6 linked regions of the Cricetulus griseus genome follow. The protein of the gene in region 4 interacts with the protein of the main gene of each other region in a biochemical or structural test. Links are inferred from orthologs where the notes say so. Each region holds a gene or a part of one and is shown on either strand. Other genes may lie near its edges. The genes, in order: Ctbp1, Thra, Rxra, Nrip1, Esr1 and Nr5a1.

Evidence for each region.
Region 1: the proteins of Nrip1 (region 4) and Ctbp1 form a complex in vitro, tested with the Homo sapiens proteins (2 studies listed by BioGRID and IntAct). The link is inferred for Cricetulus griseus from reciprocal best matches to the Homo sapiens genes NRIP1 and CTBP1.
Region 2: the proteins of Nrip1 (region 4) and Thra form a complex in vitro, tested with the Homo sapiens proteins (4 studies listed by BioGRID). The link is inferred for Cricetulus griseus from reciprocal best matches to the Homo sapiens genes NRIP1 and THRA.
Region 3: the proteins of Nrip1 (region 4) and Rxra form a complex in vitro, tested with the Homo sapiens proteins (2 studies listed by BioGRID). The link is inferred for Cricetulus griseus from reciprocal best matches to the Homo sapiens genes NRIP1 and RXRA.
Region 5: the proteins of Nrip1 (region 4) and Esr1 form a complex in vitro, tested with the Homo sapiens proteins (4 studies listed by BioGRID, with this or other methods). The link is inferred for Cricetulus griseus from reciprocal best matches to the Homo sapiens genes NRIP1 and ESR1.
Region 6: the proteins of Nrip1 (region 4) and Nr5a1 form a complex in vitro, tested with the Homo sapiens proteins (2 studies listed by BioGRID). The link is inferred for Cricetulus griseus from reciprocal best matches to the Homo sapiens genes NRIP1 and NR5A1.

The regions. Positions count from the first base shown.
Region 1 is NW_023276807.1:102,316,992-102,322,263, reverse strand, and holds the start of Ctbp1 (C-terminal-binding protein 1), read left to right. Parts: upstream 1-2,200; 5' UTR 2,201-2,390; coding exon 2,391-2,430; intron 2,431-5,272. UniProt on the Homo sapiens protein: Corepressor targeting diverse transcription regulators such as GLIS2 or BCL6. Has dehydrogenase activity. Involved in controlling the equilibrium between tubular and stacked structures in the Golgi complex.
Region 2 is NC_048600.1:111,824,346-111,829,509, reverse strand, and holds the start of Thra (thyroid hormone receptor alpha), read right to left. Parts: upstream 3,156-5,164; 5' UTR 2,990-3,155; intron 1-2,989.
Region 3 is NC_048599.1:139,423,437-139,427,937, forward strand, and holds part of Rxra (retinoic acid receptor RXR-alpha), read left to right. Parts: intron 1-1,456; coding exon 1,457-1,607; intron 1,608-2,225; coding exon 2,226-2,405; intron 2,406-4,501. UniProt on the Homo sapiens protein: Receptor for retinoic acid that acts as a transcription factor.
Region 4 is NC_048597.1:18,833,882-18,838,860, forward strand, and holds the start of Nrip1 (nuclear receptor-interacting protein 1), read left to right. Parts: upstream 1-1,546; 5' UTR 1,547-1,676; intron 1,677-2,030; exon of another isoform or gene 2,031-2,635; intron 2,636-4,979. UniProt on the Homo sapiens protein: Modulates transcriptional activation by steroid receptors such as NR3C1, NR3C2 and ESR1. Also modulates transcriptional repression by nuclear hormone receptors.
Region 5 is NC_048595.1:282,392,139-282,396,639, reverse strand, and holds part of Esr1 (estrogen receptor), read right to left. Parts: intron 2,641-4,501; coding exon 2,118-2,640; intron 1-2,117.
Region 6 is NC_048599.1:149,976,362-149,981,630, reverse strand, and holds the start of Nr5a1 (steroidogenic factor 1), read left to right. Parts: upstream 1-1,766; coding exon 1,767-1,868; intron 1,869-1,971; coding exon 1,972-2,113; intron 2,114-4,213; coding exon 4,214-4,842; intron 4,843-5,269. UniProt on the Homo sapiens protein: Transcriptional activator. Essential for sexual differentiation and formation of the primary steroidogenic tissues. Binds to the Ad4 site found in the promoter region of steroidogenic P450 genes such as CYP11A, CYP11B and CYP21B.

The sequences.
Region 1 (5,272 bases), on a different chromosome or scaffold from region 4:
CATTTGTATCCCAACAACCATGATATCCCTTCCCAAAAGTCCTTGGGCCTGCAAACCCAGCTCTTCTTGGCCTCCAGTCATGCCTTCTGTTTCCTGTATTATATCTGGGCTTTGAGTTTTCTGCTCATTTTCTTGGAGTGTTCTTTTCCCAAGTCTCTGCAGGGCTGCTCCCCATTCCTCCATGGCTCCACATGTTCCAAATCAGCAGCCTCCACTGACTGGGACACCACCCCTAAACCTTCCAGATGCTTCCTAGGTGATCAGCAGATATGTGGGTGTCGATGTCTTGGTGACCAGAAAAGGAAGTGAGCAATTACCCTGGAGACCTCCTTAGAGCCTAGAATATGTCTTAGAGTGGATATGCTCAAAGCTCCATGCAGTTTCCACACTACTATTCTGTAAATTGTGTAATCTGAACAACATTTGAGAAAAGCAGAGTTAAGAGTCTCAAATGGCTTACAAGAATGGCTGGTGGACAGGGTAGTGCCTTGGGAACCGTCTGTCTCTCCATAGGTCTCTTTGGTTGAGTACAGAGTGTCCTCTAGCCTCAGCAGACAGATGTGATTTCATTAAGCTGAGGAAGAGCCATGTTAGCATGCTCATTCCTTGGATGCAAACCTAGTGCTTTCAAGTAAGGGAAGAGCTGGGGGTTCCTCTGGTCTTGTCCTCCCAGGAAGAGGACTGCTTTGCCAGAGGGTGGACAGCTGAGAGAGGCAGGCAGGATGGGTCCATTTACCAGGTACCCAGGCCACTCTGTGGCCTGGGGTGGAGACAGTCAAGACAAGGGTGAACATCACACTCTCTCACTGGCTAGCTGGCACCAGGATGATGACTCAGGCTTTCAGGTTTTGAGCAGCTGGGCAGAGCGGAGTGGAGTGCAGGGTGAGTGAGGCCCAACAGACACCAGATCCTCTCTCAGAAGCAGGTGGTGCAGGTGCCTCTGGGCAATCATAAAGTCAGGTCTCTCTTAGGATGGGTGTGTTCAGACCCTGTCCATTTCCATATCCCTACCCAGCAGCTCTCCACTTCAAATACTCAGGAGTCGACTCCTGCCGGCAAGGGGCTATTTCTGGAGTAGGAGGATGACAGCCCGGTAGTCCTACAGCAGGCACAAGGGTCCAAGTCAACGTGATGGGGACAAGAAACCTGGGCTTCCTCTAGCGCAATGGGAGGCCCTAACGGGTTTCAAACAAGCCCTGATACAGTCTCCCGATGTGGTGGCCCTGGTCGCACTGTGCAAGAAAAATGAGAATTGGGTAGACTGAAATGGGAGGTGTCAGGCTGCCATGGAGTTGCCATGCTAGGATGGAAGAACTGGGAGGAGCCCTTTGGACGATCTCTAGGGAGTTACCTGCTGCCTGAGAAAACTGGAACGGAGCGGGAGAGGCAGTCCAGAGGCAGTTCCGGATGGGGGTGAGGGCTAAGGGGAGGTGTATGTCTGCTGGTCTTACCCCAGCCCTTAGTCTGTTTAGGAAGTACCGTAGCAGGTTTGAAACTCCACCTGTTAGATCCTTTTCTCTATCCATGCCAGCTAATGGATCGAATTGGAAGGTATTTTCAAAGCATTTGCTCTGTAAACAGACGCCCAGACCCTTGTCATCAGTCACTCGATCTGCCCACTTTTCTCAAGATTTGATTTTCACAGCATGTAGGTAACAAAATGGCCTTCAGCACCCTCCAGTTTGGGCTGTTTTCGTGAAAAAATTTTTTTTTTGAACCGCTAAGTGGTATCACTTGCCACGCCTGCCTGACAGTTCCAGAAACAGCCAGCCTCCCACTCAGATCACCTTCCCAGGCTAGGGCGCTGTCCAGCTCCTGGGTCCTGGGTCCGCGGCCCCGGCTCCGGCCGTGCTCAGGCCGGGTGCGCCCCTCTCGCTATCCGCTCGAGGCCGCGGCGACCAGCCCGGTAGCGCCCCACGCGGATGGGCTGCTCCACCACGCGGGCTCCGGCCCGGGTCACCGCGCCAAGGAGTGGCAGAGGCGCAGTCCCGGGTACGCGCAGGGGAGGGGAGGGGAGGGGCGGCCCGGGGCGGGAACATCTGGGGGCGTGTCCAGGAAGAGGATCCAGCCTGGGAGGGGCGCGAGTGGTGGGGGCCGAGCGCCGGGCCGGCGGGCAGCGCGGCCCCTGAGCCGCCCGCGTACGTCCAGCGTGCCGCCTTGCCGGCAAACAGCAGACCAACCGAGGCCCCGCCCGCGCGCGCGCGCGCGTGTCCCCGCCCGCTCGTCGGTCGGAGCGCGGCTGGCGGCGCGCGGTGGCGGCTCGGCACGCGGCGGCCGGGCGCAGGCGGCCGGGCGGAGCAGCAGACTGCGCCGAAGCCGCCCCAGGCGTAGGCCTCGCGGCGGCGGAGACCGCCACACTCATCGGGCGCCGCGGCCACCCGCGCCTTTCAATGGGCAGCTCGCACTTGCTCAACAAGGGCCTGCCGCTCGGTAAGGCCGCCGCGCGCGCGCATTTCCGGCTGCGGCGGGGGGCGGGGGGGGCGGCCGGGCGCGCGCGGCGCTGGCTTTGTGTGCGAGTGCGCGTGCGCGCTCGGTGAGCGCGCCGGGGTTGGGGGGGGCCGGTGCGGCCACAGGGCGGGGCGCATGCGCGAACTGCTGCACATGAGTGCGCGTCCCTATTTTCCCCTACCCGCTCGCGACCCGTGCAGGTGACAAAGAGGCCTGTGGTGCTTCGACCCAGGCTGTGACCGAGCTGGGCCCGTCTTCTTGGCCTATGGCCCCACGAGGCTCCTTCCCGTGGCCATCCGGGCGGGACCTAGGTGTTCCCGGAGTGACGAGCCTGCGAATCCCGCCTGGGCCTCGGGTTGGCGGATCCGGGAGCAGTTCTCTAGAGGTGGCATTGAGGGAACATGGGTGGCATACACGCCCATCACGCCTCCAGGCGACTTAGTGATGCTCAGCTTGGCCCCTGGCCTTGGACCATTTAAGTTTTTTATTCATTTGTGAAAGTCCTTAAACCGCAGGAGTCCTGCTGGTGGAGGGCAGTCTTGGCGGCGTTCGCTGGCTGCGTAGCCTGGCGCACGCGCAGTGGGACCGACCCCACCTTCGGGCGGGGCGGCCCAGAGGTTGCAGAGCCCAGAGGAGCTTTTGCCCACCGTCCTAGCGCCCCATGGTGTCCCCCTCTCTGTCTCTTCTACCTTAATAATAAAAGGGCCTGCCTGAACCCATCTCTGCCCTCACAAGGACACTCACTGCCGTCTTCCTCATAGCCTGAAAGATCCTTGCAGTGTGTGCTGCCAGCAGGAAATACGGAACTGTGGGCACGAGGGAAGGAGGGAGGCGCCCTGTGATGGCCTACTGCGCCTCTTATCACACAAGGCCGTTTCGCAGAGTCTGTCAGCCTGTTTCAGGGTGTGGCAGGGTATGGGCCTCCAGGCCTGCCCTGCATTCTGGGCCGGTGGTAGGTACCCCTCCCCCAAGACTGCACTATTTCAGAGCTGTAACTCCCTGAAGGCATTCTATATATTGTGTGTGTGTTTGTGGGAAGCTACTCTGCACCCAAACCATCAGGGTTATAGGCCAGAATTTCATGTGGGGTAGGGAAGGCAGGCCCAGCTCATTGATTTTCAGAGATAAGGAGGACCGCCTGCATCTTGGCCTTGCCTGTCAAACCTTTCCAGGCCCAGGGCCATCACCCTTGTTCTGATGAGTTTGTGATTGGTTAGGACAAATAAGCTTTCTAGGAAGGAAAAGGGAAGGAGTTTTCTAGTATTCAGGAAGGTGAACCCTGTGAGCCAGGGTGTCAGCAAGATGACACCAAGATTTTCCCTCACTGTTTCTGCTTTGTCATTTCCAGAGTCAGAGAGCATTTGTTCATTATAAACAGGAGTGTACAGGAGCCCACCCCACTGTAGTTGGCATGCAGGACACTAGGCCCACTGCTATAGAATGGAGCCAACATCTTTGAGTCCTGGGGCAGCATGATCTTTGGAAGAACGGTGGCTATGGCCATGAATATGATCCTGGGCTCATGTGTGATCTCTCTGTGTTTCATCCACAACATGGGGTAAATAGCTGTGGGATGTGCCAAGTTCAGGGACAGCTTTGTGGGTATGTGGGGTGATACTGTTCTCCGGAACTGTGTGTGCTTCCTTGTCTTGTTACTATTTAGACTGGCAGCTGTGGTTTGAGGCTGCCCTTTCTCCACTCTGGAGCTTGGTCAGGCATGGCTCTGGTATGTGTGTCAGCCAGCTTCCAGGATGTTTGAGGCTACCATGTCATGTTAGTTGTGCATAATGTAGACTGGAGCCTGTAGATTCTTGGTGGGACCTCAGTGACACACTGCTCTTCCTCTGGTCTCTTACTTTTCTTCTATCACCTGTGGGCCTGTCGTTGGGTTTCAGCAGTGTGCTTAGCCTCTCCAGCTGGGCCTTGGGCTCAGAGAGGTCCAGTGTTCCCCTCAGGGTTTCAGGTAGGATCAGGTCCTTGCCCCCCAGCTTCCAGCAGCTTACTGTTTCCTGCCTGCCTTTTGAACTAAAGTGGTGCCTGTCCTGCCCTGTAACCTGGCCAGAGGCTTCTGTGACCATTCATCCTCAGACCTAGGTACTGCTGAGGACCCTCTTGGAGTAGAACCTGCATGTTACCTGGTGGCCCTGTGGTTCCTGGGCAAGATGTGTGAAGCAGAAATAAATGCCCCGAGGTCTTTGTTGCATGGCAACACCTTTACACCAGCTCTCATTCTGCTGGTGGCAGGAAAGGGTTTGGCCTGCATGGTGCTGGGCAGGGTGGCCTGCCTCCAAGCCCTGGGATGTAAGCTGGTATAAGAGAAGTATTAGTTTATATTGCGTTGGTTTTGTAGTTCAGCCATGTCACTTGAAAGTCTGCCAGCACCAGGGTCTGCACTCTGTATCCTCACAGTCACTGTAATGGTGACTCTGTGAGTTCTGCAGGGTAGACATGTTCAGCCTCCTGAGTCTTTCAGCATTCCTGCAGCAGCTGCAGCACCCTGCCCTCAGGTACTGAGGACCATGATCACAAACATGCACCATCTTTCCCAGAGCCCAGGCTGCGTACTGTGGGGTGACATCTTTAGAAGATATGCTCATTTCCTATAAAATTAAAACTTTTAGTATACTCTTTTGTCAACCTTGCTTGACTTAGCTGCTGTGATGTCCTAGGTCTTTGCGTGTCCTCCAGTCAGCATCAGACCTGTGTTATATAGGCAGTGTAGGAGCTTGAAGACTTTGGGGGACAGGGTTAAATTGGCCTGGGTGGCTCAAGGAAAAATCTAGCAGGCTTGGGATGATGTTGTATGGGCCAGGGGTGTGGGATT
Region 2 (5,164 bases), on a different chromosome or scaffold from region 4:
AGGTCTCAGCTGCCAGGGGTGTGAAGAAAGGCCATCATGAGTCCTAATGCAGACCCAACTGGGTCCTGCCAACTCCTGTCACTGCACAAGGTGTGTGTGTGTGTGGGAGGGGGGAGCATGGTTTTCCCGCCTGGGTCAGTTAGGGGAGGAGCCTCCTCACCACCTCCTTAAAGAGTTGTAGCCTGAGCCTAAAGTGCTCCCACTGAACTGGTGTTCCCTGTGGGCCTGCCAGATTCAGGGGTCAACAGGGGAGTCTACTCCCCTCCCTTTCCCCATCCCCAGCCCCCAAAACATGCTGGCCAGCCGCAGCTGCAGCATTAAGGAAAGGCAGGATGTCCTGAGCAGCCAGCTGAGCACCCCCCCACCCCCCCAACCTCCTGCTGACCCCAGAAGCAGGCTGGGCGGGCCAAAGGGCCCGAATTTGAGCATTAACAACTGGAAAAGTATGAAGAATGTTGCTGCCAGCTCTGAGAAAAGAGACCGTGGCAGAAATGAAGACAAGCACAGGGCAAGAGAGAGAGAGAGTTACAGACTGGCAGAGACACAAGGAGAGAGAGTCAGACACCCCAAGACAGCAACAGAAAGACAGACAGAGTTAGAGAGAAATTCCAAGTCAAAAATACACCTCACTCACACAGACATTCGCCAGCCAGCATACGGCCTCCCAAGGAAAGCTTCCAAGTTTGGACAAGAGGGCCAGAGGTGAGAAAGGGGGCAGATTCACAGTGGGAGGCAAGCACTCAGCTGGGGACAACTAAGGGTCCCCAGGAAAGGCCCAGCCAAATAAACCCTAGCAGGGGCAGCCAGGTCCCCACTGGCTTATAGGCTAGGGATGAGAGAGAGCCAGAGAGCCACTCCCAACTCTTCCCCAGACACCCCTCCCCCAGCAACCAGGACAATCCCAGCTGCTAGAAGTCACTGGACATTGCTGCAGGCCCATGACTCGGCCCTCTGGAACCCCCTTTGTACCCACTTTGCTCTTGTTTCTCTGTCCCTCTAAAAGGGGGGGGGGAGAGCCCATTGCTACACAGTGGCTGAGCCTAGAAGATAGAAAGAAGCCAGAGGGAATAGTCTGTGGCTGTGTGCATTTAAGTGCGTTCCTGCCCTAGCTACAATGTGTCTATCTGCAAGGGTTATCTGGACACTGCCAGGTGGGACCTGTGACTGCACTCGGGAGCCCTGTGCATGGCCCCTGCACCTGTGAGACTAGGTGTAAAGGAGTGCACCTGTGCCTGGAGTTCCTACAGTCAATCAATTAACAAGTGTTTACAGAGCACACACTGTGCTAGGCTCTGGGTGGGATCCAGGGTTCTTCTAGAGGTTCTCCCATGTCTCAAGGAGATTGCCATCTAGTAACTGGGTGGTATGACAACCAACAGTAACAGACTATATTATCAGGAATGCATCCTGTGCACCAATATGCAGAAAAGTCTTTTTATACAGATGAATTTGATTTTCTCGGTAGCAAAGGTTTTGTTGTCCATAGAACCTCAGCTCCACAGATGAACCCAGGAAAATACTTGTTGCTAAGTTGAGTACACATGTGTTGATGTGTAGCTGTGTTTTTTGTTTGACTGAGTGGCAGTGACTGTCATGGCAAGCAATGATGACTGCATGACTGGGCACATGTGAGCTCGTGTGTGCTTGTGAGTGACAGGGTCTTTTGTAATTGTGCGGCTGTGTGCAACTGCTGTGTGTGCATGCATGCATGCATGCATGTGATAGTGACAGCGACTCTTCCTTGCCCCTGTGTGTGACAGCATCTCCCTGTGACCCTGTGCGTGGGTATGTGCACAGGCTGTCTCTCTGCTCTTGGTCTCCCGTGGGTGTGTCCAACCCCTTTGAGCTCCACCATGCAGCAGCAGTCTGCCTCTTCCCTTGTCCCCATGTGGGTGTGTCCAGCAGCTCCTGTCCTTGAATCTGCCTGGGTGTCCCTGAGTGTTCGTGTGGCTGTCTGTGTGGGCATATCTGTGTCTGCATGTCACCTTTGCCTCCCCCTTCATCTTGGACAATGGCCCCCTTCATCCCCTCCCCCTCCTGGGTCCAGAGCCAGCATTCAGGGGCAGGCTCCCATCTCCCCGGCTTTCCTTCTGTGTACCCCCCCACCCCTGGTCCCCGAAATGGGTGGCTCTCTCCATTGCCTTTGACATCTTCCCAGGCCTTCCTTTCACACTGGACAAGGGAGGGCCCTAGACAGAAAAGGGCCACCGGAGACACGTTGCAAAGGGAGGGAAACAGGGGAGCACACACACACACACACACACTCACACACACACTCACACAAACACGGGTCCATTGCTTCCTCTCTTCCCCACCACAGGCCAGCAATTCTCCTAATCATCCAGGGACCATCCACTAGTACACCCCCACTACTACAGGCTCACATTCCCCCCACCCCACCCGCCGCGTTTTTGCAATTAGGAGTGTTGCAACCAGAAAGCCATGCTCAACTGGGAAAGCAGGGAGGGGAGGGGGACTTCACTCTCCCCCAGCCCATGCAAGGCCCCCCCCCACCCTGCCGCACCCACATTGCCCTCCGTAGCTGGAGGCGGCTTTGCAAAGGCCATTCGCCCTCTTTGGCGGAGGGGGGAGGGTTGGGGGGGCACGACAGGCTTCTGGCACACCGTAAACAAACCGCGGCGCGGCGGGCGGGGGAGCCTCGGCAGGCAGCGGGGCCCAACCCGGGAATGCGCAGCAGACCGGCCGGACAGAGGCCGGGCGGGCCCTCGAAGGGGAGGCCCAGACGCCATCTCCGCGAGCGAACCCCGGGGCCCACCGACCACTTAACAGCACCTCCCTTTCCCAGGGCGTCAGTGGCTCGCTCTCGGGCTGTGACAGGGTCACCCGGGCGCCCGGAAAGGCACAGGTCGGCGACGGGAACCCCCTGGCCGCCCCCAGCCCGCCTCCGAGCTGGCCAGAGACCCGCGGCTTTGCATAATCAATCGCGATGCATTTGCATATTAATGCCCCCTCGCTCCCTCCTCCTTACCTTGGCTTGGCGCGCTGAACCGAGTTGGGCAACGACGCGGGGGTCTCAGCGCCCCGTGCTGGGGGCGTCCATGGGGGGCCGGTTGGGCCCGGGCCGCCCGCCTCCAGCGCCGGGGTGTGAGTGCGAGTGAGCGCGGGGGGCGGGGGGCGAGTGTGGCGGCCCCGGCGCTCCTCCGGCAGAGGCGGCGGCCGCTCAGGCTCCTCCCTCCCCCGCCCCGCTCCGGCTGGGGCTCCGGCTCCGCGCGCCCGGCCGGCTCGCGGCTGCTCCCTGCAGGCCGCCTCGCAGCCGTCGGCCCCCGCCCCTCGGCCCGCGCCGCGCCCCGGGACCCCGGCTGGTCGCCCCGCAGCCCCTCGTTCGCCTTGGCCTCTACTAGGCTCGGACTCGCCCACTTCACCCCTGAGGCTCCGTCGAGGAGCGAGGAGGCTCTGTGACACATTTTGAGCAAGATGTCATTTTTTTTTAATAGCTTTTTACTCGCTGGGAGAATTGGGGGTTTTCTGGTTTGCACCCTGAGGTAGAGGGGAAGTTTCGGGGAGTTCTCTGCACCTTATAAATCCGGGAGAAAGCCCAGATACCAAACGATAGGTTTGTTTCATAGTTCGGGTCCCTTCTCTCCAAGCAACTCTCTGTGTGACCTTGAACAAATTACAGCTGCCAGGGTTAGTTAGAGCTTAAAATCCAAGTGTTGGGCAGGTAACTTCTGAAATCCTCCTAACTTCAACCATTTTATTTTCTAACCGTTTTGGAGTCTCATTTTTCATTTTCATGCCTCCTTTCTCATTTCTAACATTAATGCTGGATCCACTGCCTCCTCCTGCAAACGTTTCTTTTCTCCATAGAGGCTCTTTCTATTCAGTGCCCACCAGCCATTCCCCAACAATATACAGCCCGTGCTAAGCTTGGGGAGGGGGGTGGGCAAGACTCTCTACTGTCCCTCGGCTCCCAGTTTCACTGAGGTACGATCTCCTCTCATGTTTGCACCATCAAAATCCAAATGGTTCCAGGGCCAACCTAAGGAGCAGAGTGGCTGCAAATAGATGGACTCATTTTCTCAAAGGAGAGGTCTCCATGCTAGTTCCGGACCCCTGCGCGCGCACGCGCACGCACGTGCACCAAACACACACACACACACACACACACACACACACACACACACGCGCGCGCGCGCGCGCGCGCGCACACACGCACACCCCTTTGCATTCATGGACATAAAACCCTGTCAGTGACGCCATAGCCCCTTTCATCTCGGGATCTACTACCGCCAGGCAGAGGTCTAATTACCCTAGCACCCCCCTCTGGCCCCGCCGGTTCCCCCGCTGTCATTAGCCCAGTTTTACCAGCGGGGGCCATAGCCTTCCCACGGCTGCCAGGGCGGAGCCCTGCCTCCCCAGCTTGCTCTTGGGGAGGAGCCAGTGAGTGTGTCAGGGGAGCTGCTCTTCTAACCGTTCAGTTTATACTGGATAGAATCGTTTGCTGAGTGGGATGCTGACCAACAGTCTATCCAAGTTGGGCTGCCCTTGCTCATCTTAGTCTCAGCCACCTACACCCTGAACCACGGAGCCACTTCTCTTACAAGGGATTTTAAGGGTTTGCAATGCTTGTGGGGAAGGAAGGATGCCTCTCTTGGGGCTCCTGAGACAAAAGGGAAGAGAAGGAAAACTGGGATGAGGAAGAGTAAAGTGGAAGGTAACAGTTATTGGTGATGACACACACACACACACACACACACACACACACACACACACACACACAGGCTGAAGGAAGCCTGCACTGTACAGTGGCAGCTGCAGTAGGGGACTGAGGCTGCAGTGTGCAGAGTCAGCATGCAGTCAATGAATCTGTTCAGTCCCGGCTCCCTGTGGACATGCAACAGCTGCAGTTTAAAGCAGGAGGGTGCAGTGTGCAGTCAGAGGGCTGAGAGTGGCTGTCTGCCAATGGAAGCCACCTCAACAATAATCAGGTTTGACGGAAACCCTGGGGAGCAAGGCAGTGTACAGGCTCAGGGGCCATGCTCAAGCCCATACGGAAATAAGTCTCTTGAGACTGGGGTACCAGAGGAGCTGAGAGATAATCCCGGGGTATGAGAAATACAATTATATTCTGCTTGAGTGGTTCAGCAGTAATTTGGACCAGGACCAGGCTTCAAGAATTCAGATGGGAAGGTGGTACTCTTGT
Region 3 (4,501 bases), on a different chromosome or scaffold from region 4:
GATGGAGACTGCCCTAGTCCATCAGCTCACATCTGGGAAGAGATTCCAGGATTGTCTGCTAGTGGAGTTCTGAGGAACCTTGTGGGTATCTGTGGACCTGTGGTGAGGTAGGGTGCTACAGCCCAGCCTTTGCTCTGCCCTGGCATCAGGGCTTCACTGGACCTGAGCTGATGATGCTGCCCAGAGCTAAGACATCCAGGAACCTCAGGGTTAGGCTCCCTATATAGTGAGCAGAATGGAGGGTGTGTGCAGTCTTCCTAGCAAAAGCCAGTGGTGTCTCCCTGCTACCCCAGGATCCCCACATAGGATCTTCATCCAGTTAGCATATGAACTGCTCTCCTCTGCAGTAGGATGTCCTGCTTGCCACCAAGGACTCTCATGTCCTGACAACCCCCTGACACAGCTCTGTGGGCCTCCAGGCTTCCCAGCAGCCCCCTTCAGCTGGCCAGAATAAGGCATCCGTGCAGAGCCTCCCTGCCAGCCTCACAACCCTGGCCAGCTAGGGCTGCCGAGTCATTCTGAGTGCTAGCCCCCTGATGGAGAGAGAGCTTCTGGTGCTTCTGCGCTATTCCTGTCCCGTGAGAAAGGGGGATGGGGTAGGAGGCCCTGAGGAAGGAGGTGAGCTTCCCCATGCAGGGGGGCAGCAGGGGCTATGCAAGGGCAGTGCAACCATACAGCTGGCTTTTTGCCTTTGTCAGGGGTTTTCAGAAGTGGGGGGACTGCCCAGCTGGGCTCTGGCGCCCTGGCAGATAGGCAGGCAGAGGGAAGTGCCTCTGGACTGTGTGCTTACTGCAGAGCTGGGTTGGAGGCTGCGGAACTAAAACTGCTGTGTCATTGCGACGCTGCAGCTGTTGCCTGGGTGACAGGGTGAGTTTCCCACGCTTGCCCCTGGCGGCCAGCGGGCGGGGCGAGGCAAGGGGTGTGCTGAGGCCAAGATGGCCATACTGGCCCTATGGCTTGATGTGTGGGGCGTTCACTTGCTCTCCTGTCTTGTCCTGCCCCAGATTCCTCTGTCATGCAGGGTGGTGGGGATATGTGTGGCTCTGAAGGAGCCCAGTCCAATCTCCTCCCCGAGCCTGGGCCTCTTGTTCTCACCTGGGCGGTGGAGGAGCCCAGAGCACCTGTGCTCTCATGTGTCCAGGACCCATGGCAGGTGTTAAGTGACGGAGGTAGCTCTTTGGTGGGTGGTGGAGTGGGCCTCCTGTATGATACTCAGAGACATGGGATCCCTGGCTATGTGTGGTCTCTGGTACCTTGCAGTGACCTGGGTTTTCTGGGAGGAACTCTGAGGGCTGGACATAGAGCTGACCCCTGTTCTAAAGATGATGGTCCTGCTGTCCCTTAGCCATGTGTCCTGAGTTAGGCTCTGTAGAGTGGAGTTGTAGGAAGCCCAGCACTCATTGATGCCTGTCACCAGCCTCCCAAGGCTGACCTATCCTGACTCATCCTCTTGCAGCTCAACTCACCCATGAACCCAGTGAGCAGCAGTGAGGACATCAAGCCCCCACTGGGCCTCAATGGAGTCCTCAAGGTTCCTGCCCACCCCTCAGGAAATATGGCATCCTTCACCAAGCACATCTGTGCTATCTGTGGGGACCGCTCCTCAGGTAGGACTGCCTGGTAGGCAGGAGCACCATACCTAGACAAAGCACACAGGGCCTCTCTAGATTTTTCCATTGGGCTGGGTTCAGGGAGGCAGGAACCCAGGGGTGCCTCCCGTGCCTGTAGAGCAAGGGGTGGGCTGAGAGCTCCAGGTGCCTTGTTTTATCCTCAGGTAAGGTGGGCACTAGGATGGGAAGGGTGGTTTGGAGGCATGCCAAGAGAAGATGCAGGCATGGATGGCTGAGGTGCAATGATAGCTAGCCTCCTGTCTGGGCCAAGCCTGTTGAAGGGCCCCCCTGCATTGTGCTACTGAACCCCAGTAGCCTAAGAGCCAAGAACAGTGTGTCTATACTCTTCTAGAACACAATAGCTCAGGCACAGAGAGCACAACATCATCAGTGTTGGTATGCTGGTCCTTAGGGGGTGGTGACCCCTAATCCCTGCAGATAGAGAGAAGGTGGATGGACCTGGTCTCTGATTTGTGCAGGGAGGACCAGGCAGGGTCTAGCCTGAGCCTAGACAGGGGTTCTGAAACCTGAAGGCAGAGCCCCAGCATGCAGCATGACACATGGGTGAGGATCTTGTCAATATAGCTCACCCATCCCTCTGTCCACACCCTACAGGCAAGCACTATGGAGTGTACAGTTGTGAGGGATGCAAGGGTTTCTTCAAGAGGACAGTACGTAAAGACCTGACCTACACCTGCCGTGACAACAAGGACTGCCTGATCGACAAGAGGCAGAGAAACCGGTGTCAGTACTGCCGTTACCAGAAGTGCCTGGCCATGGGCATGAAGCGGGAAGGTAGGCCTTGAATACCCACCTCCTGCCCAGCACACTTTTCTCATCAGAACCAGGAGGCCTCCATTGTCCTCTTCCCCAGCATTGTTAGAGTAGAGGGATTTGAGCAGAGTCTAGGCCTGAATTTGGCAGACTCTGGTATAGCCTGGCTGGTTCCTTTGTGTGTCTTCAGGGACAGGGTGCTCCCTCTCCTCAGTGCTCAGTGGAGCTCCTGGCCTGTGCTATTGAGACTGCTGTCTGTATAGCTTGTATGTTGAGGGACTGCCTTCTTGCCAGCCCTTCCCCCAACCAGATTTTCATCTAGTGCTTGCTGTGTAGCTGGGCCTTGGGGTTTTAGAATAGAAAAGACAGAGCAGGACCATCCTACTAGCAGCTTGACCCCAAAGACAGGAGCTGAGTACACAGTCCCCTCTTGAGGTGTGGCAGGGCTGAGCCAGCACATGACTGGGAGAGCACTGGGCTGAAAGCATGGCAGAGGCAGAAGTAGGAGGAAGGAAGGTGGGCAAGAGAGAGGGTATCCACAGGGTCGTCTCTGACTTCCTGTCTCTCCATCTGCCTAGTGAGGGGATGATCAGGAGAGCCCATGGTATGAGGCACATTTGGGTTGGAGTGGTGGAGGGGGACCTCTAGAGACCGCCAAAATATCCCCCCAGAGCCTGTTGAATGTTAGGGTCATCTTGGGCTCCCCTTCTTCTCAAGGCTACTTCCAGTTTCATCCCTGGTAGGGTCACCTGCTAATCCACAGGCCCTCTGAGCAATGGGACTCTGAGCCTGTTTTATTAGCAAGATATATATGTATGGGTTAGGGAGGCTGTGTAACAGACCAGGAAACTCCCCAGAGGTGCCAGATGTCAAGGTGTGTCACTAGACCCTTAGGTTCCCCAGCTGCATTGTCTCCTCCTAGCCCTGCATTTGGAAAGTATTCCTTGGTTGGGAGGGAGATAGATAGATAGATAGATAGATAGATAGATAGATAGATAGAGGGAGATAGATAGATAGATAGATAGATAGATAGAGGGAGATAGATAGATAGATAGATAGATAGATAGAGGGAGATAGATAGATAGATAGAAGATAGATAGATAGATAGATAGATAGAAGATAGATAGATAGTGTGTGTGGGGGGGGGTGTGGGTGCCTGGGTGAGGTTCTTCCATCAGTCTTAGGCCTGGGCCTCATAGGGCTGGGCACTCTCTGAAGGTCTTCTACTCTCACTCCAGCATTGCCCCTCCAGCTTCCTCTGCCTGGGTTGTGCATGGGGCCAATCCAATGGCTATTGTGTGTCCTTCCACTTTGTTCCCAGCTCTTTAATTGCCCCTGTCTAGGACCAGCCTGAGGAGGGCAGTGCTGGGATTTGCTTTTCTCTTCACATTGTCCTTCTTTCAGTATATTCTGGTCTTCTTGTTCATGAGAAGCCCTATGCTCCTGTGGGATTCTTTCATGCTATGAGGTCAGCAGGGGGTGCAGGGAGTAGCTGCACCTCATTCCCAGTGCTGGTGGTGGGGCAGCATATACAGAACTGTGTGCTATGGGTCTGGAATGTGTGTGTGAGTGTCCCTAGCCTGGCCATTCTGACTGGCACATGTTTCATACAGAGTATAATGTTCTTTTAAGTATGACCTTGACTAGGAGATTTCCAATGGCCATTAGGGGCTAAGTCTTAATACATTTGTCTAGCTGAGCTAGACCCCAGCTTCTGCCCCCCCCCCATTTTTCTGTAGTGAGAGGGCAAATGGAGGGAGTGTCCTGCCAAGGGTGGGGTACACTGTTTCATCCTTGGGGTACCACATGCCCTCAGGGAGCACTTAGGGGAATAGCCAGTACACCAGCACATCCTCTAGAGGACAGGTGCTTGAGTGGATAGACTTGGGGTGAGAGCCGTGGCCAGCTGTGTGCCTGGCCAGAAGGTGGAAGTGGGGTTGTGCAAGCCTCTCAGGAGCTGAGCTCAACCCTGAGCCTACTCCTTCTCAGTGCTGTTGTTCCTGGTAATGGGCACTATTAAGGGCTCTGGGTATGAGTTCCTGTCCCTTGAAACTGACCACCAGATAAGAAGGTATCTTTAAGTCCCTGACTTTGGTCAGCTAGAGCTTGGGAGCTGG
Region 4 (4,979 bases):
GCACTCTAGACCTTGCTCATTTGAAAAATAGCCGGCTGTATAACTATTACATAACAGTAAAGAATACAGTTTGATCACTTAGGTCATCTTTGGTTTCTATGTGCATCAGTAACTGTTTCCAAATGCTACCAAAAATGCATGACAGTAGATACCTTCATCCACAAATTTGTCTTATCCAGTGAGTATTTTAACGCAGCCATACCACTTTACAGTTCAGGGTGAAGTGAAAATGTACTTCAGTTTTTTGTTTTTTTTTTTATGTCAAATAAAACCAACTTTTACAACCACTCTTTTTCCGCTGGTAATTCTTTTCATGGAGAGATACTAAAGTGAAAAGGAAACGTGACATCTGGGTGGGGAGGGGCGTCAGAAGGAGTCTTCACAAGTAATGTTCGCGAGGAGAGGATTTTAAAGCGGAAAACACGAGAGGGCGAGATCATGGTTTCTTATTATTCTCTCCTCCCTCCACTTTTTCGCTTCACCAATCTGTAGCCCCCCTCAAATTTAGAGGCGGGTTCAGCAAGACAAGGCTGCAGGAAACCCAGGTTTCACTGTACTGCCACCCTGGCTTCGTGATGTAATTGTTATTTATTGAGACTCTGAACCGAGCACAGCTGCTTAAAGAGGTGACAGCCCATCTCCTAGTCCTGTTGGGTCAGATCCTTCCTGGGGGTGGTGCAGATGGCCCGACAGACCCTGCTGGAGACTTCGCAGTGACAAAGCAGCTGAAGATAAACCCGGTTCCTGGGTCCTGCGTCCGTCTAGGGAGCTGAGCTGGGCACTCCTCAGGTCTCCTTCCCAGTTTTCCGCTTGGAATCACGCCACATTAATTACTGGGTCCTACTAGGTGCTGTGGGCATGGGGTCAAAATGACCTAGAGTTATAGCGCCGTCCTTCCTGATTTTAAGCGGGACACAGATTTCTAGGAGGTGGAAATTAGGGTGGGTAAAAGGCAGTCAAGAGAACGCGTGCTGTGGGTGAAATGGGAGGAAGGGAGACCCTTAAGGTGCCAGCCCCTAGGTGGAGACCCCAGGGAAGGGTCAGGGTGTCTTTATTCCTCTGCGGTGCTCACAACGCTTGCCCAAGCCTGGGTGACATGGACGATCACCTGGTCCCTAGGGACAATCTGTCCAGGCGGCTGGACGGGGCCGGAAAGCCAGGGCTCCTGCTCGGAGAGCAAGGCACCCCCCTTTCCCGGTCGAACTGTGTCCTCTCTCTACCTTCAAGGCCGCGCAGCCCCGGGTCTCCCACCCGGAGCACCGGAGAGGAGGCCTGCAGGAGCCGGATAGGCTCCCCAGCTCCAGCGAGCCGCCGGGTACGCGATCAACCCGGGTGACAATGGGAGGGAGGGGCAGAAAAGGGTTAAGAAACTTGGCTGAAGAGCTGAATGGCGTGGAGCAGCGAGGGGAGGGACCCGGCCGCCGCGAACTCGGCGGCGGAGGGAGGAGCGCGGCTGCGGCGGGCGGGCGGCGAGCGAGGCGCTCAAAGTCAGCCTCGCAGACATTGCAGCAGAGCCCCGAACTCGGGAGGCGACGGCGATCGCGGTGCAGGCGGAGGACGAGCCGGCCCCAGCCCGCCCGTGCGCACCGCCCGTGGCCTCGCGCGGCCGCAGGGCACGGCTCACCCGGGAAGGAGGGAGCGACGCGGATCGGCGGCCCGGAGCCGAGGCGGCCTCGGTGAGTGGCGATCGCGGCCCGGGCTCGGTGCAGAGCTGGCAGAGCGGACGCCGAGCCACCCGGGCACGGCCTGGGTGACCGGCCCGGGGAGGCGGCGGAGGCCGGGGAGGCCCACGGGGGACGCCGGCCACACGGATCCCGGGGACAGCTTGCCGCCGCGCCCGGCTCCGGGTCTCCCCGGGAACTCGCGGCCGCCCCCCCCCCCCGCGCCGACGCGGCCGCCAAGTTGTAGAGTTCCCAGCCGTGGGATCGTCCGTGCCAGCCGTGGCGCGAGGGGCGCAGCCTCCCTGGGTGTGCTGAGCCGGGACCCACGCGGGTGGCCGGGTGGCGGGGCCCGGGTCGAGCCCGCTCGGCTGCTCCTGTTGGCCCCGAGCCCCGGGCGCTGGCTGCTGCGCCGCTCGGTCCTGCCGCCCAGCGGTGCCCGCGGTGGCGCCCGCGCTGCTCCCCGCCTTTAGTTGGTGCCTCCCTGCGCGGTGCTCGCCGATTCCCGGCAGGGAAAAGTGACTCGGACAGGGACAGCGCTGAGCCCCAGGCCCGGCCTGCTGGGCACCAGGTCCCCGCCTGCCGAGGGAGGGCGAGGCTCCTTGCACCGGAGGCCTCAGCCTAGTTTTTCCCCAGCATCCGAGAGCGGGCTTTGCGTTTAGTGTGAGCCTGCTGAAGTCCTCGGAGACGCTCTTCTCTCTTGTGCCACTCTCCTCCTTACTCCGGTTTGAGGAAACCCTCGTCCGTGGCAACACTCTCCGGACCCCCACCCCCATCCTTCCCAAAGTAGTTTCCAAATTTTAATCAGGAGTTGATGTTCAGACTGAAGGAACAAAGGAATCCACTGTGTTTAAAAGGCGGACAGGCGGTGAGCCTGACACATGTTGATCTCTGAGGCATTCCAGGAGTTTCTACCTTCCATCATGTCAGTAATTTAATTGGATTCTGGCGGTCGTAAACGAAGAACAGAACGTTAGGTAATTTTATGTTAAGATACTTTTTAAAAATTAGTGTGTCATTTTAGTTGGTGGTAAAGTCCCTACGTTCTTAGGTGCAAGAACTTTTAACTCATTTTTGTGACATCAGGCTTGAGTTTGTCTGCTAATGTAAATGATTGTGACACTGAGGGAAAACCGTGTTTTAGAGGAAGAGAGAGACTGTCTCAAAGTAAAACAAGATCGGTGTGCCTGCCTGTCTGTGTCTGTGTACACACCTATACATGCGTAAATGATGTATAGTCTTCGTATTTCCTGGGTTTTGTAAAGCAAGGGGCTTCAGGAATTCATTCTTTAAAGTTATGAATTACATTGAACCTGCTTATTAGTGAATCATAGGTTTTACCAAGTGGGCGGCACCTTCCCGATGCTGTTATTCAATGTTCAGTCACCAGTTTGCCACCTTTGTCTAAGAGACAGTGAAGTAAGTCTACTTTTTAAGCAAACAGTGCTTCATGCGCATGGCCCCTAAATGTGGCTGCTGCCTGGGTGTGTTGAAATGTCCTTTTACTTCCAAGTGACTTAGTTGCCCTGGTTTTGCCCAGCAGTTTGGTAATGACCATAGGGTTTAATTGACTCAGGGAGCCTGGCTTCAACACCAATAGGAACTTTCTAGGCTTGGTCTTACTTAGTTCCTATAGACAAAGGAGAAGCAGTAACATAGCAGGCACTACTGCTTAGTCTAGGACTGGATACTTACTCCAGGCCACTTTGTACTCCGGTGGGGAGATTTCTTTGCAAAGTTAGCCTGCAAAGTACAGGAGGAGCTTGAGGAAAACAGGTAAGAAGTAAATAAGGAGGGCAGTTAGTTCGGTGGCTGCCTTTACACAGATGAGAGTCCCTGTGCTGCCTTTGAGACCGTGGAACATCAGGTTTAAAACCCATGAGAAGCTTGAGAACCTGTGTTTTCCAAACTTTGTTAAACTTGTACTTTTCTAATTGAGCTATCCGGAAATATTGTGAGTTAGCAGTGGAGAAGTGTTTGTGGCTGAGGCTAGGGCTGCTCTGGGTCCTCCAGTTTTAAGAGCAAAACATTGTGATAAAAAATAACCTATACCACCACCTAGAGTCTGCTTGTTAGTTTATGGCTCCTGGAGTTTGCTTACATCCATCCCCAGGTCCCTTATGGTTGCTGCATGGTCCAAACATGATTTGAGAAGTTGAGGCTTCCTAAAGGCTGTCCAAAAGAACAATTACTTAAGTCATAAACAGCAAGGGCCAATTTAAATTATCCACGCCACCTTCAGAATAGAAAATTATGACATATCAACTCAAGTGGGCTGGCCTCCAAAAGATATTAATTCAGAAATGTAAGGCAGAGCCTTCTAAGCGTGAGCTTTAGGGGTGGCTGTGACTGCTAAAAGATTTTCTGTTTTCAGAGATTCAAGAAATATTACGAAATAAGTGTTCTCAGTACCTTTTGTGGTTCTAGGGAAACAAAAGCAATGATTAAAAAATATAGAGGGAGGAGTATTGCCACTACAAAATTCTAGACACTGAAAAGGTCAGAGAGAATGTAGACAGTAGTTGAATTGGGGTTCAACTATGTGAGAATCAGGCCATGTGAAACAGAGTGATTATCTGTCCTGCTGGTGGTGGCTATGCAAGAGAGCAGTCTGTTGAACAGGACACCTTAGGGAGGCAGCCTCTGCCATGTGGCGCAGCACATTGTCCAAGGAGGAAGTAATGCTCCTCCTTGTAACGTGTAGCCTAAAAGATGGCCTCCAAGATCTTTAATTAAATATCAGTTGAACAGAGAGAACTAGAGCACTGGATTAATTCTGTCAAACATCACTATTTTAGAACATCGAGGACAACTGAAAATGAATTAACTCATATCTGAAAGCAGAGTTTTATCGAAGGTGACAGATGAGGCAAAATATGTCAGTCTAATGGAACACATGGGGAGATGAGGATAGATCTGCCATCCTCGGCTCTCTAGACAGTTGAGAGCAAAGCAGGCTATTATTAATTGTGTAGATTTCATCGCCAAGCCAGTATAGAAGATCATGGCCTGGAAATCATTTTAAATCAGAGTGGCCTAGGATCTATGAGGTCAAAGGTCTTAGATAATTTTTATTTGTAAGCCTGAAAATTGTGAGCAACTTCTGTCTTCCAGAGAAGCAGTAATGCTTTGGTGTGTGAAGTTAAAAGATCATCCAGCTAAAAATATGTTTAAGACGTTGAAGTTTTAATCAGTAAAAGTTACACATTTTAAAGGGACTCAATGAATCCCTTTTATGATTTAAAATTTAGGTTTCCTGACATGTTTCAAAGTGTAGGCTAGTCGCTCAGTTTCTCTCTCTACCCCCACTCTCCTTCCCTT
Region 5 (4,501 bases), on a different chromosome or scaffold from region 4:
TCTCAGAAAGAAAAAAAACTATCATAAAACACCCATTTGAAACACTTGCATAGACACTTACTTCCTTTCCCCCTAAGTAATAAGAGGCAAAATTCAAACAAAACAGCAAAAGTGTTATAGAAACTGAGCCAAATAAGAAAATCATTCTAAAACTAAATTTCCACCCAGAATTCTACCTGTGTACTTTGTTTTTTGTTGTTGTTGTTTTGTTTTGTTTTGTTTTTTTACCTTTAAGAATCCCTTGTAGGTTTTTTTTTTTTTGCTTTTGTTTTGAAAAATATCTGAATATTTCTTGGAGCACAAGTTTAAGATGGGGTATTTTATGGTGAGATTCTTTGCCACAGAGATGATGGGCCATATTGAATAAAATGTGATCCCTCTTTATTTTCTCAGGCTCACTTTGTAATTATTAGCAAGGCAGTAAATAACCCGCCAAGGAGCAGCCTCATTAGTCCCCATTGAAATTCAGTGGCATTAATTTGCAATAAAAGAACTGAAAATTAAATGGAAAAAAATACTTTCGGGACTCCATCACAAGGTTACAGGATTCACATTTTACCAATACTGTCCTTAACATCAAGGAATTTTAAAAGTATGAATTAGACTTAATGGCTATATTTTGTTCCTCGGGCTTAGAGCAGAAAAAAAAAAAAAGTAGTTGAGAGAATAAATTACTTTCCTCTTCCATCTCAACCCTGAATTAAAGCATGTCAGATTAATTTGAACCCAGCAACTTTTTAAAACTTTTGTTCACTGTTTGTTCTGAATGTGAAAACTGGGCCTGGACCCACTTCAATATCTGACGCTTTGGTTCCTGAAGGTGAGCTTGTATACACCGAGAAATCACCCTTCAGTATCCTCTGGGGCCAGTCTGCACCTTGGTCCCGTTTCTCCCGCTATAAATACATCTGGAAACAGAACACTGAGCAAAAAACGGTCCACGGCTTGTAACACAGAAGGTCTTGGCAGAAGCAGGAGCCAATTGCCGGGAGCCAGCCTACAGTGGGCTAGCTTTGCTTCAGCAGCATGTGGGCATCAGATAACTTTGTACCTGGCCGTGTATTACTGTCCCCTAGGCAACTCTACAGGTAGGTGTTTACCAGAACCACCCACCTAAGCTTTCTGCAGGCCCAGGAGGACAAAGAAGAAATGAGAGGAAAGGGACATCAAATAATAAAATAATTAATAATAATATAATAATAATCTCTTAGGAGAAACTAAAACCGAGGACACAAAACAAGAGTCACTTAGGTCACCGAGAGTCTGTCCTGGATTACCCCGTGTCCTGGACTGCCCTGGCTTCTTACACAGCGCCTGCCTGCGGGGCAGGATGGAGCTAACCAGCAGCATGCCACTCCAGAATTCTCTGCTGGCTGGGTCAGACATGAAACTTAGTTACAGGGGGTTACTGCACTGTTGCTTCTATGTGGTATGTTCTAAACACATGGGACACCTATAAATTCCCAGCTGTCAGAAGTCATATGCCAGCAATGTGCTCTAACTCAACTCAGCCAGAAATCAAAACTTGTTGAGACCCATTCCACTCCCATATCAGCTCTTCTGAGCAACCAATCCAGAAGCCTGGAATGGGGAAGGCAGGGAGAGAGACCCATAGGCACCTCCACCTAAAACCCCATCTTCTCCCGTTTACCTTGCATGTTTCCATTTCAAAACTCTAGATGAAACCACACTGAACCCGACACACCGAAATAATGACTAATCAATGCCCCCTGAGCTCCCCTAGCCCCAAACACCCCCATCTTTAAATAATAAAGGGGACCCTTGCACAAACCACCTGGGCCACCTGGGGTTACTCGCTCTGGGATGTTCTCCCCATAAATAACTTCTCTGGATTGTTTTCCCATGGTTGTGTAGTTAGGAAACACGGGCCTTTTGAATCTGCCTCTCCCACAGACAACTGCGGTTCGAGAATATTGTTGTCGCTGTTGTTATTGTTGTTGTTTTTAAGCTGAGAATGGAGCGAAGGCGGGAAGAAACCTTCCTGACTTCCCCGAGGGGTGGGAGGGGGCGATATGTGGCCAGTGAGGTTCCCCCCTCTCGCGCTCCCTCCCCGGGCCAGACCTGGCACAGCGGCCAACCCGACGTGGTGCGGGTACCTGTAGAAGGCTGGAGGGCCGGTGTCGCGCACGGCATAGGCGCTAGACTCATTCTCCAGGTAGTAGGGCACCTGCTGGCCGTGCGGGTGCAAGAAGGGCGACAACTGCGGCGGCGGCGGGTGTAGTAGCATCAGCGGGCTGGGCGACACGCTGTTGAGCTGGGGGAAAGCCCCTAGGCTGTTGGAACCGAAGGCGGCCGCCTCGGACCCAGGGCCATAGGCGATGCCCGACTGGCCGTAGACCGGCGCCGAGGCGGCGGCGGCGTTGAACTCGTAGGCGGCGCCCTCGGGGTAGTTGAACACGGCGGGCTTGCTGCTGTCCACGTACACCTCGCCCAGGGCCCTCTCCAGGGGCATCTTGAGCTGCGGGCGGTTGAGGGGCTCCAGCTCGTTCCCTTGGATCTGGTGCAGCAAGGCCATTCCCGAGGCTTTGGTGTGGAGGGTCATGGTCATGGTCAGTGGCGGCAGGCGAGGCGCAGACAGGCTCTCCGCGCACGCAGAGGGCTCAGCAGCGGACGGGCCACCTGGAAAAAGAGCAGAGCCGGCTGTTAGAGGCGACGCAGGGCAGGTCCCCTCGGTGCGAGCGTTGGCCCTGGCCCTGGCCCTGGCCCTGGCCTGGCCCTGGCCCTGGCCCTGGCCCTGGCCCTGGCCCTGCCCCTGCCAGGGGGCAGAGGATCCTGTAGAGCCCAGGTGACCCAACTCCAGGGAGCGCACCCCGCCGCTCCCGGGTTCTTCAACTTTACATACTGGTCTTCCCTGCTCTTTGCACATTGCAAACCTGCTGGAAGCCGCCAACCGGGGGCTGCCGCTTTCAGACAACGATGGAAACATTACACCGCGCGCGCGTACCCAAAGAACCGCTTCCCTGAACTTTACTTTCCTGGTCTTCGCGGCTGGATTTCGCTGCAGGGGGTGTGGGGTAGCAGAGGAATCTCCAGCAACCGTGCCCCCCCACCCCCATCCCCAGGAAGACTAGGTTTGCAACAAATGCAGACTAAGCCACAGGCCGCGCTTTTTTTTTTTTTTTTTTTTTTTTTTCTGATGTGTTGCCTGTGTGCTGGTGCCAGGCTCCAATCTGTCTCTGTTTGTCTCTCTTTCTGTTTGATTTGGTCTTCTTGTTGGCTGGAAGTACGTAGTGTATGCATAGAATGGCCCTGGGAGGACCGTGACTGTATCTGTAACTGAGCTATGGCAAATAGAATGGGGTGTGTGGTTGCATATGCAGCCAGCCACAGATAGCTATATTTAGCATTGGTGGACACAGATAGGAGGCATCTAGGGCCAGGAGAGCGGAGATGGAGCATGTATAGAAAGATCTGCGCTTCAAGTCAAGAAAAACCTGCCAGCCTTCAGCTTCCACATCTGGCGAGAAAAAAACAAAAAACAAAAAAAACAAAAACGCTCCCCAAGGGGTCCTGTCCAGCACAGCCATTGCTTTTCTGTTTTTGTTGGACCCCAGTACCAATTTGCTTCCTTTTAAAATTCTCATGCGGATATGATTCAGAAAAACCTTCAGTTGGGCACACATGGGTGTCCCTGCCTTCCACAGGTTATGCAACCAAAACTTGAGAAAAACTGAACGTGGAATGAGACATTTTCCTATAAAATATCGCCTGGGGTCCTTAACCAAGGCTCTGGCAATTAACTAGATAATCCTTTCTGTCTAGCCAGAGACTTTTGAGAGGCTCCCCATGCCCTTCAGCATCCTACCGTATTGAATTAAAATCTGATTGCACACACACACACACACACACACACACACACACACACACAAACACACACACACCTGCTACTGTAACAAAAGACATAAGCTTATACTTTTTAAATAAACTTCCTCTGTCCCAACCTAATGTCCCCTAAAATAACCATTAACCTTTGACTTTGATTGCTATTCCATATGCCCCCAAAGAATACCTGGTACATGCAAATGTCAAGGTTGCTGTGACTAATAGTAACACTTTGAAAATATTTTCTGCTGCGTACACAGTTCATCTAATTCTTAGGGGGAAAAAACAGATCGTTTTGGATGCTACACAGCCAAGCTGATTTAAATCCAAAGACAAAGTTGAGTTTAAAGTCCATAAGTCAGGGTGACAGCAGAGAAAGGGTTAAAAACACATTAGGTGAATCGCAGATATTTCTCTTTATGGCCAGCAACCATTACTTTCTAGAGCAATGTTATCACAGATGATTTAGTTTTCGTAAATCACACTTTCAATTTTCAAATGCCTTTTTAAAACACATGCAAAAGCAAGCACTTCGTGGGGCTCTTTGAAAATCTCACCCAGCCAAATTATATATAAATGGCACAAAGAAGCCTACAAGTCCAGAAAGGGGAAAAGAGGAGCCGCACAGATTCCCCCGATAGAAAAATAGCACAGCCTC
Region 6 (5,269 bases), on a different chromosome or scaffold from region 4:
ACAGTGTCAATTCGAAAGCTTAGTTTCTACCTTGGCCTCGTGCCTTACGCACACCCCCACGCTCTTTCTTAGCCACTTCCACACTGCAAAACGTCCAGAGTTCCCACCTTGGTCCTGGCCACCCTAAACTGGACTGCCAAACGGGAGCTCGCTTTCTCCCTGCGCAGGCGATGGCCAGAAGCTTCCCTGTACACGACACCTGACCGAATTCCAGGGTGCTCAGAGTCCCCAATTCTCTTGGAGCTCGTGGGCTTCGGAGAACCGAGCTGGGGCCAGAGAGCCGGGAGGTGAGGGTGAAGGCCAAGCGGGGCTGTGGGGAGGACGCGGCCCGCGCCTCCGCCCCCGGATACCGCACGCGCACTTATAGAGCGGCCGCCCCGGCCCCGCGCGGCGGGTTCGCGCAGCGCGCAGTGCGGCGGAGGGGCCCGGGTCCCAGGTGCGCTTCGAGCGGCCCAGCGGGCGGCGGGCGCGGGGAGGCGGGGGCAGAGCGGGACGGTCTCCCCGCCCCCGGCCCAAGTGGCCGTCATCGCAGGCGGGAGGCGCTGCGCCCCTGTGCGGCTTCATCGCGGGCAGCGGCGCGGCCCAAAGGTGCGGGGCGCTGCTCGCGGGAGTGGCCTGACTGGGCGCCGACGTCGTACTGCTCTCGCGTCCCGGGCCGTGGCTCTCGGGATCTGGACTCTCCGCCTGAGGTCTCCCGCAGCCTGCACCCCAGCCTCTATAGCCCGCACCGTCTCCGCCCGAGGTCTCCGCCCCGCGCCCATCACCCCGTTGCGCCCTCCACACCTGCTCCCGGCCCGACGTCCCGGGCTCGCCGGTGGGTGCCGTCGCTGCGTGGCTTTGTCTGCGGACCCAGCCGCAGGGCGACAGGGCTCTCTGCCTCTCCGGGTCGGCCTCTGTCCCTCCACGGGGCCACGCCTCGGAGCTCGCTGCCCGCACCGCCGCCCGCCGAGAGTCTGTCTCCCAGTCCCTGACCCTCTCGCTGGGCACCTCCGTCTCTCCAGGTTATCCTCCTTGTCTTTGTCACTCTGGAGGCCTCGATCTCCCCAGGATGTCTCTCGTTGTTCGGTGTCTCTCCCTATGTCTCTGACTCTGTGTCTCACGGCTTTTCTCGTTGGGCCTGTCACTCGGAACCTCTGATCCTCTCTCTTTCGTTACCCAGCACTGATCGTTCATCTATTTACTATCTACTGATCCTTATCTGTCCATCATCGATCTCACCTATCATTTATCTATCGTCTATCTACATAATCTATCATCTATCAGTATCTACCTACCTATCTACCTATCGGCCAACCATCTATGAATCTCTCCGCAATGTCTCTAGCTCGGCATTCCTCTCTCCGTCGCCCGGGACCCCCCTCTCCGTTGTGCAGCACAGGCTGGGGTCTCTCTAGACTTGTCTCTGCCTCAGCTCTGTCAGGCCCCCAGATCACTCCAGCTGCGCGACCCACATCTCCCTGGTTGTCTGGCGTCGGTCTTCCCGCGCCCGAACCTATCTGATTTTCTCAGAATCGGGGTTTTGTTCTCAGACAAACGAATCAGGATGGAAATGCATCGAATCCGAGGGTCCCGGATCCGGCGCGGCAGAGGCGGCATGGAAGCGGGGCTGGAGCGCGGCGGGTGGTTGAGCTGCTGCTCTGGGATGGCAAACCCCGCACCCGGTTGATGCTGTGGGCTGTCCCTGGAGCACAGACCATGGCAACCCAGGCCAGTCGCCGTCGGCCCGCGCTGATCCGCTCCTCCTTCCACAGGCGGACGCTGCGGGCATGGACTATTCGTATGACGAGGACCTGGACGAGCTGTGTCCGGTGTGTGGTGACAAGGTGTCGGGCTACCACTACGGGCTGCTCACGTGCGAGAGTTGCAAGGTGAGCACGAAACGGAGCAGGGAAAAACTAGGCTGCGGGTGGTAGGGGTGCTAGCGGCAAACGAGGGTCGGGGACCTGGCATTCACTCCCTCCTCTAACACAGGGTTTCTTCAAGCGCACAGTCCAGAACAACAAGCATTACACGTGCACCGAGAGTCAGAGCTGCAAAATCGACAAGACGCAGCGTAAGCGCTGTCCCTTCTGCCGCTTCCAGAAGTGTCTGACCGTGGGCATGCGCCTGGAAGGTGCGAGTCCTGCACACCTGGGACCCCTGACTGCTGCCCCCCAGAGAGCCGTGGGCGGGCCTGGGAGAGGGGCTGAGGGGAAAGGCACAGTTTCTGGATCCAGGTGATTGGCCCCTCTGCGTGATGTTGGGGCCCCAGCTCTGCAGGGAACAGAGGCAACTAGGGAGGCAAGTGCCAGAAGAGACCTTGCAGGCAGGGCCTGCCTGTGTTCGGTTCCGAAGTATCAAAAGTGGGTTAGGGTTAGGGCCATGCCTGCAATCCCAGGACTCAGGAGACTGAGGCAAGTTGATTATGGGCTGCACACTGAGACTCCGCACTCCCTTCCTCCAGGGGTTAAGCCTTTCTCCTGGACAGAGCAGAACCCCAATAGATGGAGGAACTTCCACCCGTCCCTATATATCCCCACACCAGCCAGAGCCAAAGCTCTCAATAACTTGATCATGTTCAAATCCCAGCCTCTTCCCTTGTAGGATGGGGACATTGAGCAAATAAATAATTTAACCCCTCTGAGCTGCAGATACCCCCATCTAAATAATGAGCTAAAAAGTAATGTTTGCCCTGTGTTGGTGGGGGGACTGGGGGCTTACAAAAAGCCGGAGTTGCTTGCTGTGAGGGCAAATGCGCAGCAGAGTATCTGTGATTGTCATCATCATCACACATTCTGCTGCTATTTGTTCATCACTGTCCACCCTGTGCAGCTATCTGTCCAGGTATCTAAGTTTTGCAGGAATTGAGATCCTTTCCCATGCATTTTTAGCTCAGCTCTGAGAAGGTTGGGGTGAGGGGAACAGTGGCTTATAGTCTCCTCTCTCCTATCCCTGTTCTGGTCCAGAGAGGACAGCATTGGCCCATCAGGAGAGACTCAGACTCAGTGGACAGTCATAGTGTCTACCCCGCTGGCCCCAGTCGGGCTGAGCGCCCAGTCAGCAGCTGTCAGCTAAAGTTTTTGCAGAGAAGGCCCCAAAGGCTGGGAGAGCTGTTGACATATCCTGCTATCTAGAGAAGGACTCAGATTGAAGGAGGTACCCTGTCCTGTACCTGGGGCCCTCATCCCTAGCTCCAGGTCCACAGAGGACAGAGAGCTATCCATTGTGGGTGGCAGAAGCCTCTGGAGCAGCCTGAGGGAGCAAAGTAAGTTGGCCACCTCCCAGGAGGAAGATCTGTGCCGGGCAGGCTCCCAAGCTCTTAGTTCTCTGAAACACCACCCCTCTCTCCAGCTCTCCCTTTCCTCAGAGCTTGGGTGGGGTCCTGTCTGAGCAGGGGTTGGATCCACACTCGAGCTGCAGAGATGCACCTGTTAAGTCTGGCTGGTGACACATTCTTGGCCAGAAGAAAAACATCTGGTCAGCAAAATAGGTCCCTTCCTCCAGCACTAAACCAGGCTCCACAGTAGAAGGCAGTGGGGGAAGCCCCAGTCATCTTACAACAGGAGCTTAGTAGAATCAAGAAGTCTGCAACAAGTAGCTGGCACCCTCACCCCCCACTGTGAGCAAAGCAAACTAGGGGCCCTTTTCTCTCACCATTTCCCTGTGAGGTCCTCGGCTGGGCACCTAAGCCTGAGCTGAACCCCAGGTGCTTCCAGTCTGAGGTATACTATGGGGCAGGTCAGGGGGTTCTGCCTGGGACAATCCTTGGACTTCCTGGAGGTGGCAACACTGTGACTGGGCTACGCAATGAGAAAGAAAATGTGAGAGGAAGAAAAGGGATCCAGGCAGAAGGCAAGGTGGGTGAGGAGGTGTATTAAGTGGAGGAACGAAAGGGTAAGTAGGGAGGAGGGGAAGAAGATGGGGTCACTAGAAGGTGGAGAAAAGCCTGGAGTGCCAAGCTAAGGCTATGGCTCTCACCTATGGACTGAGCAGGCCATTGCATGGAGGTGGAGGAATGGTGTTTGTGTGTGTGAGAGAGAGAGAGAGAGAGAGAGAGAGAGAGAGAGAGAGACAGAGACAGAGACAGAGACAGACACACACAGAGAGAGAGACACACACACACACACAGAAAGAGAGACAGAGACAGAGACAGAGACAGAGACTCATCTTTTTGGAAAAGATCTGTGAGAGGTAACTAGGAGGGTGGACCCTGACTGACTTTTCCTGCCCACAGCTGTGCGTGCTGACCGAATGAGGGGTGGCCGGAACAAGTTTGGACCCATGTACAAGAGAGACCGGGCCTTGAAGCAGCAGAAGAAAGCACAGATTCGTGCCAATGGCTTCAAGCTGGAGACTGGACCCCCAATGGGGGTGCCCCCGCCACCCCCTCCCCCACCGGACTATATGCTACCCCCTAGCCTGCATGTACCTGAGCCCAAGGCCCTGGTCTCTGGCCCACCCACTGGGCCGCTGGGTGACTTTGGAGCCCCAGCTCTGCCCATGGCTATGCCTGGTACCCATGGGCCTCTGGCTGGCTACCTTTATCCTGCCTTCTCTAACCGCACCATCAAGTCTGAGTACCCAGAACCCTATGCCAGCCCCCCTCAGCAGTCAGGGCCACCCTACAGCTATCCAGAGCCTTTCTCAGGAGGGCCCAATGTACCAGAGCTCATACTGCAGCTGCTGCAGCTAGAGCCAGAGGAGGACCAGGTGCGTGCCCGAATAGTGGGCTGCCTGCAGGATCCAGCCAAAAGCCGCTCGGACCAGCCAGCCCCCTTCAGCCTCCTCTGCAGGATGGCAGATCAGACCTTTATCTCCATTGTGGACTGGGCGCGAAGGTGCATGGTGTTCAAGGAGCTGGAGGTAGGTATCCCCCCAAATCCCGGGGCCCCCTGACTCTAGTCATTCCTCTTGGCTGTCCAGCATCACCGTGTGTATATGCATTCCTGCCCAATGGCTTCAGGCAGTGTCTGGGGGAGGTACTACTACAGTCAGCAATGGTACTTCCGAGCGATTGCAGCTTCCTGATATCCACTGCCCTCTCCCCATCCCTCTCCTGTCTCTTCAGTCCATCTCTCTTGTGTCCCCTCCCTGGCTAGTGTGCTCTCAGTACCTCCTTGTTCCTCCAAGACTTTTGCTTCTCTCCCAGTTGGGGTTTCAGGCAGTTCCCTCTTTCTTTGAGACCCTGAGCTCCCTCAAAACACTCATCTTGTCCCCCAGATCCCCAGCCTATGTCAGAAATAGATCCAGCCGTCTTATCCTTTCATTCATTCAGAAAGGACATCAATCC